Callithrix jacchus: one gene and its partners. The protein of the gene in region 3 interacts with the protein of the main gene of each other region in a biochemical or structural test. Links are inferred from orthologs where the notes say so. Each region holds a gene or a part of one and is shown on either strand. Other genes may lie near its edges.

Region 1 (4,112 bases), on a different chromosome or scaffold from region 3:
GCACCCTAGATAATTAGCCTATGGCATCCAGCTTTGGCAGACACTTGTTCAGAAAAGTCACCTGAATTTGTAGTTAGGAAGGCAGAGGCCTGTAGAGGGAAAGAGACTGGTCTAAGTTCACACAGAGAGCTGGGATACCAGCTGGGATCCCATTTGGGTTTAGGACACACAGCTCTGAGTCAGCGCCTCTCCACTGCATGACTCAAGAATGCTCTCCTACAAGTCAAAAGGAATTGGAGAGATTGAACAAATATACAACATAGTCTCAGTCCTCAGGAGCTTATATTCCAGACACAGGATGTGTTACACATGTCAGAGACAAGAAGACACAAAGTCCCACCAGTCTGCGTGGGTGTCCCCAGCTAGGAGCCAGAATGGAGAAGGAAAAAGGGCAGATGGAACATGCATTAGTACCAATCTGTCTTCTGAGTGCCCTGCACACACCATTTCCTTTAATCCTGACAACCGTCCCATTGTGTTGTTACTGTTCATGTCTCTATCTCACTGATGAGGAAGTTGAGGCACAGAGAGGCAAAGAACTACAAGAAAGTCACCAAGCTAGCAGGTTGCAGAGCCAGGCCAAGGTGTGTCCGACTCCAGAGCTGAGTCGGGAGGTGTCTCCAAGGGAGGCCTGACCCCACTACTTGGGTAGAATTTGCATCTGCAGATCAATCCTTTACATGTCATGTTTGATGTCTAAGATCCATTCCCGTATGACTCTGCGGTCCATTAATTTGGCATTTTCTTTCAGGGGGTTGAGGTTCTTAGAATCTGAAAGGGCTCTATCTAAGTCTGTGGAGGGACTAGGCCTTCCAGGATCACAGATTTGCCTCAGTCTCATAGTTTCTTCCCTCAGTTCATTTATGCCAGAAGAAGGAAACTGCCTGGGTGCTGTAGATTTGTCCTGGGGTCTGAGATCTCCAGGAAGAAAACTCTCGCTTCCCCCAGAGAGATCTTCCTGTACCATTCCTGACCAATGGACCATCTCCCTGTACTGACGGGAATTTAGGCATCAATTCTCCGTTGTTCAGCTGGATTGTATAATTCTCCTGGTCACACTTGAAAGTTTGGCCTGTCTGTGCCTTTCAGCCTGCCCCAAGTCCTTCTCTTCATAATTCTCAATTCCTTTCTTTCTCCTTTACTGAGGTAGCATGCCACTTTATTCCCTCTTAACAAATTATACCTTGTTGCCTTGTCTTATTTGGTCTATATTTGAGAAAGGTATTTAGAAACATCCTTCAAAAACCAGTTTTGCAACGATGTTTGCTGAAACCTAAGTTTATTATGACCTTGCAGAATGAAAATAACAGAAACAAAAAGCACAAAATATGGCCAAAAACAGGATCTGTGAGCTGTGCCACTACCATGCTGCACCTAGTTCAACATGCGCACATTTTCTTCTTTAGGGTGGAGGAGAACAGCTGCGACTATAAATACCATGGAACTGTGCAGAGCCCAGGTTTGGCTATATGTGCCCTTGAATCTCAATTTCCCCAGGAAAAACAGGAAGTTGAATTAGATGACTTCTACACCCTTAGTTTTATAATCTCATCTTTGTGACAGTCTGGAATATCAACAGAATCTGATGCCGGCCTGTAAGGATGGGGGTGTTAGAAGCTCAAATGTCTCTCACAGGGCATCTTGCCCCATGGTCAGGGTAGATGGACCCTAAGTAAGTCATGTGGCCTCAGATCTGCCTAAGCAGATGTGTGGTCCCCACCTGCCAATGACCAAGCACAGGGATCCTTCAACCTTTCCTCCAAGTCCAGAAGATAAGACAGCAACACTCTGCTCCCAGCACTGCCACAAGCCTCTTCCCCTCTAGGGGCCTCAGTTTTCATAGCTGTAAATTGGGGCTCATATCAGTTTTCTGGCCTGCTTCATAAGGTTCTCAAAAAGCTCCAAGGAGACTCTGCCCCAGACGAGAGCCTGAGGACCCCCCCCAGGGTCGTGAGTAGTGAAAGCCCAAATGCCATGTCTGGCACTGCTCATCATAGTCCTCTCTCCAGCCCTTGCACCCAGCTTGTTCTTTCTCCTGCCTCCAGGACACCACGTCTCTTCTTTCTAGTAAGTAGCCTTGATCTCATTAGCAGTTACAACAGTCCTCTGTGTCTCAGAGAATGGACTTTAAAACCAGAAAGGTATGACTTGGATCTTGCCTCTATAACCTGTAGTCCCTAGGGCTTTGGACCATTTCACTTCCCTGAGCTGATTTTGCAGCTGAACCAAGAGGATAACAACACTGACCTCACAAGATAGTAAGGAGTGTTAAATGGGACAGTGCCTGTGAAGCACTGAATTCAAACCCTAGCATATAATAGGCACATACTCATTTGAGGGCTCCTGTGCCCACCTTTCTCTCCAGAACGCATTGCCAGAAAAACTCAGCGGTCTGTATGGCACTCACTCACCCAGTAAGGTTGCCATACGGTTAGTGCCATTGCTATCTTATACACCTCCCACATTCTGCTCCAAATCCATCTTCTAGCCTCAGTTCAGCCCACCAATGGCACTACCAGCATGACCACTCACACAAGAGCAAGGCTCACCTTCTTGAAATAGTCAGCAAGGCTGTTAGGGTCCCAGCTTAGGACCTCTGAGCGAAAGGGCACATTCCTCAGTGCCATGGCTGCTCTCCCGGGAGGAAGCTCACAAGCTGAGCATGTGCGCTGCACCCATGCACAGAGAAGCTCAAATCCAGTGCTCAGAGGCGTTCTTGGCTCTTCCAACTCTCAGCTACCCTGTGGAACACCCCTGTTGGAGCTGATGTCTTTTCTGCTGTAGCCAGATCCCAGAAAGCAACGGCTTCCTCTGCGAACAAATATGGTCTCTTCTCAGAAAACGACTCAGCTAGTTTCCTTTACCACTTCCTCTGCTGGGCTCTAAATAAGTAAACAAGGAAGCTCAGCTCTGGAGGCTTGAGATGCAGAGAGAGCCACTGGCTCCATTCACCCCAACCGAGCTGGAGAGGCAGTGAAGGGGTTTTAAACTCCAATGTGAGTCCGAGTATTTTTCCTTTAATGCTCCAGGCACTCATGTCTACACTGCATTCTTGCTCAGCTGGGCCTTTGCAGTCCAAAATCTATCCTGACAGTTGACCTGAAATCCAGACAATTTCCCACATCAGTGAACTGCTGGAGCATGGCCTTCTCATGCTTTCTAAACACCTTCCCCTCCCACCATCAAAGATTGGGATTCTTTCAGCTGCCTGTTTACAGTCGTCATGAGAGGGTCCTCAAGGAGTGAGTGAGTCAGGTACCCAGAGCTGAGCAAAGTGCTGCACCGTGCAGACAAGGCTCAGTTTCTGATGTGACTATTTCTGTGCTATGCAACCTTAGACAAGGACTTAAAAACTAGGGATCTCAGTTTCCATATCTGTAGAATAGGAAAACAGAGTGATTCTTCATACACACGTAAAACTTAGATGCATTTAACTAGACAAACGTAAAAAGAAAAAAAGAAAAAAACTCAACAATTGCTATTGATAGTGTCGTATATTCCATTCACAATTATTTCCACAATGTATTTTATTCACTATTGATTCTGCCATATATTCTAGCCAAAGAGCACATTCCCTGGAGATAGGAGGTGAGAATCTGCTGTTTTCTTAGTTTCAGACATTGTTCATTTCTCATAACTGAACAACTCATTGGCAGAGGGTGAGTCCAGTGTATAAAAGCAACTATATTTGTGCAATATGTCAGCCTCTAAACACAAATTACTTCTCCATCTAATGCTACACACACACACACACACACACACACACACACACACAAAGTGATGCTATGTTGGTCCTTGAGGTGGTGCCTTCCTGAGAGTCTTCAAGCATAGCTTTGGCCGTGCACATTTTCCATCTTATACACACTCCCAGGAGCCCTGTCATCACTGTGATGCATCTGCCTCATAAGCTGGGTGACAGCTTAAATGAAATACACATTTTGCTTCAAACCCAGCACCTAGAAAGGGGCTTATCAACATAAACTAGTGTTGGCCTCACCTTAGAAGGCACTGAGGCCATCTGTCAAGGTGGCCCAGGCCATGTGCTCCTTGCAGGGCTTCACAGCTAAGAGCCTGCAGTAGCTGATCACGGTGTATAAAGCATAGCCCCGCTG
Region 2 (4,107 bases), on a different chromosome or scaffold from region 3:
AAGAAGATGGGGAAATCATGATTAAACAAAGCCTTTAATATGCTATTGCGCCATGTGGATTTACAAAAAGAGGGCATAGCAAAATACACTTCTATAAATTATTCAACCATGAATTCTTTTTTCTTTTTCATAAAGGATCTCACAATACTAGTGTTCTGAAGAGCATTAATTATTTGTTGCTTTCTGCAGTACATAGCATCTAGAATTAAAAAAAAAACCTTTTGATTTAATTCTTTTAACTAATACATGCAGATCTCTGTTAATGTAAGCTAAAATTAATGTAAAATACCCATGCTCAAGCATAGAACTGTGCTTTGTGCATTTTGGTCCACAGTTCTAACATTTTTTTTTTGGATGAGACATTTTTGTGTTTTTCTTTTTTAAGGAAACATGCCTCAATATCAAGAATCAACCAGTAAAATTATAGATGACCTTCAGAGTAAATGTCCATGTTTTTAAAAATGACACAGAAAATATAATAAATTTGAGCACTTTGTATATCCTCTCCTGTGAACAATGGCTACATTCAATTGTTTATTCACTTCACTTTTGTCCCTCCAAGCCCTGTGTGGGAACATGCTGTACTTTCACTGGTCAAATTGGCAGACGGTGTCTCTCTTGCTGTTGCCGCATATCAGCTGTGCTTTTCTCTGTAGGTGGTGAACGGAAGGCAACTCAACAAAGGAACAAAGTGTCTATTCCTACTGCCAAATCCTGAAAGCAAGGAGCCCACACAAAAAGATAAGAATAAATGAAGCTACAATAAAATAAAATGGAGACTGCAATACTGGAAACAACTAAAATCAGTTTCAGTAGTGGGGAAATAAATAAATTGTGGTGGTTTAGTCATATAATGGAATAATCTAAAGATATTAAAGATTCTGTTTCTGAAAACCTTTCAGGATCTAGGGGAAAACTCAATATAATGTAATGAAAAAGCTGGATGCATAGCTGTGTGTAAATTATAAACATATATGTACACATATATATATGAGGAAAAATACTAAAAGAAAATTCAATCAAAAGTTTACTAGGGGCATAATTATAAAGGTTTTTTATTCTTCTCTAGTTCTATATCTTATAAATATTTTATTTAAAATGTATATTCTTATAATTAAAATCTTTTTAAAACATTTATTAGTTCCATTCTTCCATTTTTAAGTTTGGGTTACAAATATAAAAAACTAAAGCATGCAATTCTATATTAAAGGAAATGAAATCATTGGCAAAGATTTATATAAAATACTAAACTTTTCAAAAAATGCTATTAACCATAGTAAGCCTAAGTAATGTTTTAAACTACAGTTTAAACTAAATCAAAAGTGTTTAAGCACAAGTTTCTTTTTTAATCTGTCACAGAATTCTATCTCCAACACTTCAGCATAATATAATGAATACTATATTTAGTACTAGTATTATGTTTAAAACTAAATTACAAATAAAAAGAGATGATACAATATTTATAGAAGGTATGATAACCAGAAATGAGAATGAAAGCATAAATTTCCATGTAAAAAAACTCACTAAGATAAAATTATAAATGCATACAGAGAAAAAAAGGAATGTGCACATATTTATTGCTTTAAAATATTATATTATTTTACATGGCATCTGTATCTGCTTCCTGGTCATCCAGCTCCCTATACATTATCCATCTCTGATGTAATTATTACTGTTATGCTGGAATTAGCAGGCATTATCCTGTGGCTAAACTTATTTTATGTTTCAAGATAACTATTAGTGACTTTGTAATAAGTGAGTTTAAATTGATTTTTTTTAATGTGCAAAATTGACTCCATTTAAACTTCCTTTACCCAATCCTTTAGCCCCCCAAAAGATGACCAGGTACCCTAAAGAAATAAAATAGCCTGCTTTATCTTCTGAAGTATAAATGCTCCTAACTTACTTAAGAAAAAATAATCTATCTTGCCTTGCTGCCACCACTTCTCATAAGAAAACTCCTCCTAAAGAAAAAACGATTCTACCAGTTATAACAAGCTGAATTCTACATGCTCCAGTTCCTGCAAAGACAAATATTAGATTGTGAGACTTACCAGATTAGTTACACACAATTTTAGGCAGCTATTTAAAACTGTACACTCCACCATAGAAATCCATAGGCAGCCAAGAGTTGCAAAATTGGCAAGTTGCAGAATAAGCCAGTAAATGTTCTTCATCACTTCACCAATGGCGGATTTTTAGATGGCCAGTCTTCTAATTTTCTCCATTTTGCCGTATGAATTATTTGGGCTTCATCACTTCAATTGAAGGAGTAGTTGATGGATTTTCTTTTGCTTGCTTTGCTATATTAGAATATGTTAGATTTTTGAAATAATATTTAGACCTTTGAATCCTTGAAAGCTTGTAACAGTTCCAAAACAGCTGTTTCATAACAGCTTTCTTTTACTCCCATAAAGAAAGTCACCCACTGACTAAAAGTTAGTTTTTAGAAGAGCATTTCACATGGAAATTAAAGAAACGCAAATTGTATTTCAGCAAGGGTGTGAAACATGCGTAGCCTGAAACTGGAACATTTCAGTTTCATTTCAATTTCAGTGGGTCATCCACCACGTCCTCCACCTTACTTCTCTGAGTTCCTTTCAGCTCTGCAGGAATTAGGTTTTGACCACGTATGCCTTAGCAAACAGTAGCATTATTATAATAATGAATTATTGAAAAAATAAAAGCACCCAACTCAAGCAACGCAACTGAGAGGGAAAACAGAACTCTGAAGCCAAATACATGTTTTTTAATTTAAAAGCAAACAAAGCTGAAATTAATAGACAAATAACCTGGGAGTGAGTTAAAAAAAATCAAGGAAGTTCGTTAGAGCACTCTCAGAACTTCAGTACATATTAACTAAAATACTGCCTTATCAGGTCTATTGAAACAGCTGAAGCTAGTTACCAGAAACCTAAGATATGCACAAGTGTCTGCCTTGAGAAGGAAACATTATACCGGTTTTTTTTTTTTGTTTTTTTTTTTTTGTTTGTTTGAGACCGAGTCTCACTCTGTCGTCCAGGCTAGAGTTCAATGGTGCCATCCCGGCTCACTGCAACCTCCGCCTCTAAGTTCCAGCGAGTCTCCTGCCTCTGCCTCCCAAGTAGCTGTGATTACAGGCGCTTCCAACCACGCCCAGCTAATTTTGTATATGTAGTAGAGACGGGTTTTCTCCATGTTGGTCAGGCTGATCCCTCCACCTTGGCCTCCCAAAGTGCTGGGATTACAGGTGTGAGCCACTGCACTAGGCCATATTGTACAGAATTTCAATTAGTCACGCATGAAGATAAAGTTAAGCTGAAGCCTAGAACAAAGAATTTGAAATCTACAAAATATGGAAGAGAATCATTCTCAATAGCTACTTTTTAGATTGTTAATAAGTCTTAAAAGCCAGATATTTTTGTAGTGATGCCTTCTACATGGTAAGCTAAGGTGTCAAATAAACTTCCTTGTTGTCTTTTCATTTTTCTCTTTTGTTTTGTTTTGTTTTGTTTTTTTGAGTCTGAGTCACACTCTGTCGCCAGGCTGGAGTGCAGTGCCGCAATCTTGGCTCACTGCAACCTCTGCCTCCTGGGTTCAAGCAGTTCTCTTGCCTCAGCCTCCCGAGTAGCTGGGACTACAGGCGGGCACCACCACAACTAATTTTTGTATTTTTAGTAGAGACGGGATTTCACCATGTTGGCCAGGATGATCTCGATCTCTTGACCTCGTGATCTGCCCACCTCGGCCTCCCAAAGTGCTGGAATTACAGGTATGAACCATTGCGCCTGGCCAGCTTCCTTCTTTTCTTAAATAAATTGTACTAAATGTAACTTAACCTTTTCTTAATAATATAAGGTTCTCATTATGAGTAACACATACCTGAGATTTTGTTTTGAGCTGAACATATTTATCATTGGATTTTTTTTTTTATTTTTGTGGGTACGTAGTAGGTGTATAGATTTATGGGGTACAGATGTTTTGCAACAGGGATGCAATGTGAAGTGAGCACATCAAGAATTGGGTGTCCATTCCCTCAAGCACTTATCCACTGAGGTGCTAACAATCCAAGTACACCCTAAGTCATTTCAATATGTACAGTTTTGACTATACGTATTAAACTATTAT
Region 3 (4,078 bases):
CAAGGCAAAGAGGTGGCATGCACAGAGTTCATGTGCGCAGTGCCTGGCTGTGAGCAGAGCTATGTGGCTGGAGCAAAGTTGCTCTGAGAGGTTGGGACCCTGCTGCAGAGGGTCATTCAAGGCCAGGCTGAGAAACTGAGGATGGAATCTGCACAAGGGGAGGCCTGGCCAAGCTACCTGGGAGGAAAATGGCCGTGGAAGGGATTCAGGACTAGAAGACTCAGTAGGAACCCCGTCGGTGGGGCAGACAGTGATGAGGTGAGCACTGGGGCAGGAGCAGAGATGAGTGTGAGAAGCAAGAATCAGTAGGGCTGGGGAGCCACACACCCACAAACTCGCCAGTACTCTGTAAGCAGGTTGTCACTTTTTCTTTTTCTTTTTTTTCTTTTGAGACAGTCTCGCTCTGTCACCAGGCTGGAGTGCAGTGGTGCAATCTTGGCTCACCAAAACCTCTGCCTCCCTGGTTCAAGCAATTCTCCTGCCTCAGCCTCCAGAGTAGCTGGGACTACAGGCACGTGCCACCACGCCCAGCTAATTTTTTGTATTTTTAGTAGAGACGGGGTTTCACCATGTTGACCAGGATGGTCTCGATCTCTTGACCTAGTGATCCACCTGCCTCGGCCTCCCAAAGTGCTGGAATTACAGGCTTGAGCCACTGCGCCTGGCCCCTCCCTCCCTCCCTTCCTTTCTTCCCTTCTTCCTTCCTTCTTTTCTTTTCTTTCTTTTTCTTTCTTTCTTCTTTTTTCCTTTCTTTTTCCTTTCTCTCCATTCTCTCTCTCTTTTTTTGAGACAGAATTTTGCTCTGTCATCCAGGCTGGAGTGCAGTGTCACAATCACAGCTCACTTCAGCCTTGACCTCCTGGGCTCCGGTGATCCTCCTGCCTCACCCTCCCAAGGAGCTGAGACCACAGGTGTGTGCCACCATGCCCAGCTATTTATTATTAGTAGTAGCAGTAGTAATGAGGTCTCCCTGTGCTTCCCAGAGTGCTCTTAAACTCCTGAGCTCAAGTGATCCTCCCACCTCCCAAACTGCTATGTTGCCCAGGCTGGTTTCAAACTCCTGAGCTCCAACGATCCTCCCACCTCAGCCTCCCAAATTGGGATCACATGTGTGTGCTACCTCGGCCGGCCAGGTTTTCACTTTCACCATCCCAGGTCCAACAGAGTCTAACCTGCCCTGGCCCTGCCTCCGCTCCTCTAGGGTCCTCTGTCACTGCATCACAGGCAGACTGTCCTTTTTTTGTTTGTTCCCACGTTAGAGCTTTGTGCGCTCCATCTCCTCTGCCCAGGGATGCTTGACTCTTTTTTTTTTTTAATAAAGACGGGGTTTCACCATGTTGGTCAGGCTGGTCTTGAACTCCCGACCTCAGGTGATCCGCTTGCCCTGGCCTCCAAAGTGCTTGGATTACAGGCGTGAGCCACCACACCCGGCCTAAGGATGCTTGACTCTTGATCACCACATCATTCTTTTCTTTTTTATCTTCTTCCTTCCTTCTTTTTCTCTGTTTCCTTCCTTCCTTTCTCCCTCCCTCTCTCTCTTTCTTTCTTTCTCCACCACGCCTAACTCCTCTTCCTCCTCATCCAGGTCTCAGCTCAAATGTCACCTCCTCAGGAAGCCCTCCCTGATCCCTCCAGCTAGTAATGTCACCTGCACACCCAGTCACTTGCTAGCACATGAAGCTGGTTCATTTTCTTTTTTCGAGACAGGGTCTCACTCTGTTGCCCAGGCTGGTGTGCAGTGGTGCAATCACCACTCCCTGTGGCCTTGACCTCCTGGGCTCAAGCCTCACACCTCAGCCTCTCCATAGCTGGAACCACAGATGTGTGCCACCATACCCAGCTTATTTTTTGTATAGACAGGGTCTCACTATATTGGCCAGGCTGGTCTCAAATTCCTGGGCTCAAGCAATCCTCTCGCTTCAGCCTCCCAAAGTGCTGGGATCACAGGTGTGGACCACCATGCCCAGCCGAGGCTGTTTCATTTTCTGCATAACACTTTTGAGAATCTGCAATGATCCAATTTATTGGGTTGTTTGTTCAGTCTGTGACCTCCCATGGGAACATAAGCTCCGTGAAAGCAGGGACCATGTCTGTCTTGTTCACTCCAGTATTACCAGCATCTTAAACAGCACCCTGTGTGCAATAGATGCTCAGCACGTATCTGATGAATGAATGATGCAAGGGAAAGGGAAGTGAAAGGAACCGGAAAGAAGATGGGACCAAAGTCAGATAATGGGAAGAGCAGGGAAGTTGGCTGGGCAGGAGAGGCCTTCACGGGTGGCCTCTAACTGCTGCTATGTTTGAGGTGATGTGAACTACCCAAGGGACAGGTCCCAAGCAGGAGGCAGAAGCAGGAGCCCAGAGGCTGGAGGTAGAAATGCAATGGAGAGAAGAGATATACACTTGTCAGGGGAAAATGTTAAAGAGGGGCCAGAGGGGCATGAATGAGCCCGGGGGTCCTCACACCTTGCGGGAAGGGAAGGTTCATAGGGACAGGAAGCAGGCGCAGGGCAGGGCAGCGGCAGATCGCACTCAGGCTCACACACATGTTGCAGTGAGCATGAACAAGGCCTCCCTCCCTCCAAAACTAACAGGAGACTGGGACCCAGGTGGTGCACGAACTTACCCACGGGACAGCATCTCTCTGGAGGGATGAAGTCACGGCAGAGGGCCTCAGGGGGCGGGGCTGAGCCAGTGGCACAGCTGTGCACCGTGGCCCAAGCCAGGTGAGGACGAACCTCTCAGAAATCAGTCACTTCCTCCTCAATCCAGCCTGCCAGGCCAATGGCCCCGCAGGGACAAACCCTGGACTAATAGTCTCCAGGAAAAGGACAGGTGGGGCGGGGCTGGCCTGAGACCGCCCACAGCAGCCAGCTTCCCTGCAGCCCCAGTGCGGGAGTCCAGCAGGCCCTCCCGCCGGTCCAGGGCTGCCTTCCCTCGGGAGAGGAGGAGCCACCTGGAGCTCCACCTGGAGCTCAAGCTGACAGAGCGGCGGGAGGTTGGGTAGGGGCAAAGACCAGGAAGTAACCCTGGCTGAGGGAAGAGCAACCAATGGGGGAAATCTCTCAGTAGGCGCAAACCAAAGGGCCTAAGGAAAAGCCCTAACAGCCCAATTCCTCAGAGAAGGAGGTGCGCCCTGTGCACGCCCACCCACCCAGGGCGCTGAGGAGCCCAGTCCAACCTCTTACCCTGCCCTGGGGAAAGGGGAGGAGCCTCAGCCCTCACTGGAGCAGGGTTAGGCCCAGCCAGGAGTATAGGAAAGAGCTATTCAGGAGGATGCGGCCTGGAAAGGAAGAGAGAATCTGGGGAGGAGAGAGGGAGGTTGTCAGGTCCACAAAGACTGACACGGGGCACGGTGGCTCACACCTGTAACCCAAGGTGGGTGGATCACAAGGTCAGGAGTTCGAGACCAGCCTGGCCAAGATGTTGACACCCCGTCCCTACTAAAAATACAAAAATTAGCTGGACGCGGTGGTATGCGCCTGTAGTCCCAGCTACTCAGGAGGCTGAGGCAGGAGAATCACTTGAACCTGGGAGGCGGAGGTTGCAGTGAGCTGAGATCACGCCATTGCACTCCAGCCTGGGTGGCAGAGTGACAAGAAAACTGACAAGAAGGCTAAGTCGCAGACACATTTATTATTGACTGGAACATCAAGGCCTTTCCTCCCCTGTTAGTGGCACAAGGGAGGGCTAACTCTCAGGAAGCAGCCACGCTGCCACCAGCAGCAGGTCCATGAGGTGGCAGCGTCATGGGTGGCAGGAACAGTGCCTTCAGCTTGCCTGACAGGCTGGCAATCTCGGGATCCTGGGCTTCGTAGGATTTGACCAAGCGGGCAAACTTGAGGACACCTGCAAGAGGGAGTGGAGGGTCAATGCTTCTCCTAAGGACCAGCGTGCCTAAGACAGGTGGAGGGGGTGGTAGTCTGAGCTTGAGCTGTTCCCCCACTGGCAGGGCAGCTGTTGGCAGAACAGCACATGCAGGACTCTGCCCCATGCAGTTTGGATCAACTTCTTATTCTACGTTGGGCACAACTGGATGGGGTGCATGAATGAAGATGTCCCAAAGCAGTGCGCTTCT

What was found. The genes of interacting proteins can lie anywhere in the genome.
Region 1: the proteins of PTPN6 (region 3) and LCP2 form a complex in vitro, tested with the Homo sapiens proteins (2 studies listed by BioGRID). The link is inferred for Callithrix jacchus from reciprocal best matches to the Homo sapiens genes PTPN6 and LCP2.
Region 2: of the proteins of PTPN6 (region 3) and ROS1, one has a biochemical effect on the other in vitro, tested with the Homo sapiens proteins (2 studies listed by BioGRID and IntAct). The link is inferred for Callithrix jacchus from reciprocal best matches to the Homo sapiens genes PTPN6 and ROS1.

What each region holds. Positions count from the first base shown.
Region 1 is NC_133503.1:62,542,421-62,546,532, forward strand, and holds the start of LCP2 (lymphocyte cytosolic protein 2), read right to left. Parts: upstream 2,801-4,112; 5' UTR 2,628-2,800; coding exon 2,550-2,627; intron 1-2,549. UniProt on the Homo sapiens protein: Adapter protein primarily involved in signaling pathways within T-cells, as well as other immune cells such as platelets, mast cells, and natural killer (NK) cells.
Region 2 is NC_133505.1:123,720,113-123,724,219, forward strand, and holds the start of ROS1 (proto-oncogene tyrosine-protein kinase ROS), read right to left. Parts: upstream 2,801-4,107; 5' UTR 2,178-2,800; coding exon 2,055-2,177; intron 1-2,054. UniProt on the Homo sapiens protein: Receptor tyrosine kinase (RTK) that plays a role in epithelial cell differentiation and regionalization of the proximal epididymal epithelium. NELL2 is an endogenous ligand for ROS1.
Region 3 is NC_133510.1:21,210,897-21,214,974, reverse strand, and holds the start of PTPN6 (tyrosine-protein phosphatase non-receptor type 6), read right to left. Parts: upstream 2,801-4,078; 5' UTR 2,641-2,800; coding exon 2,627-2,640; intron 1-2,626. Other genes in the region: C9H12orf57 (protein C10), read right to left, coding at 3,698-3,849. UniProt on the Homo sapiens protein: Tyrosine phosphatase enzyme that plays important roles in controlling immune signaling pathways and fundamental physiological processes such as hematopoiesis.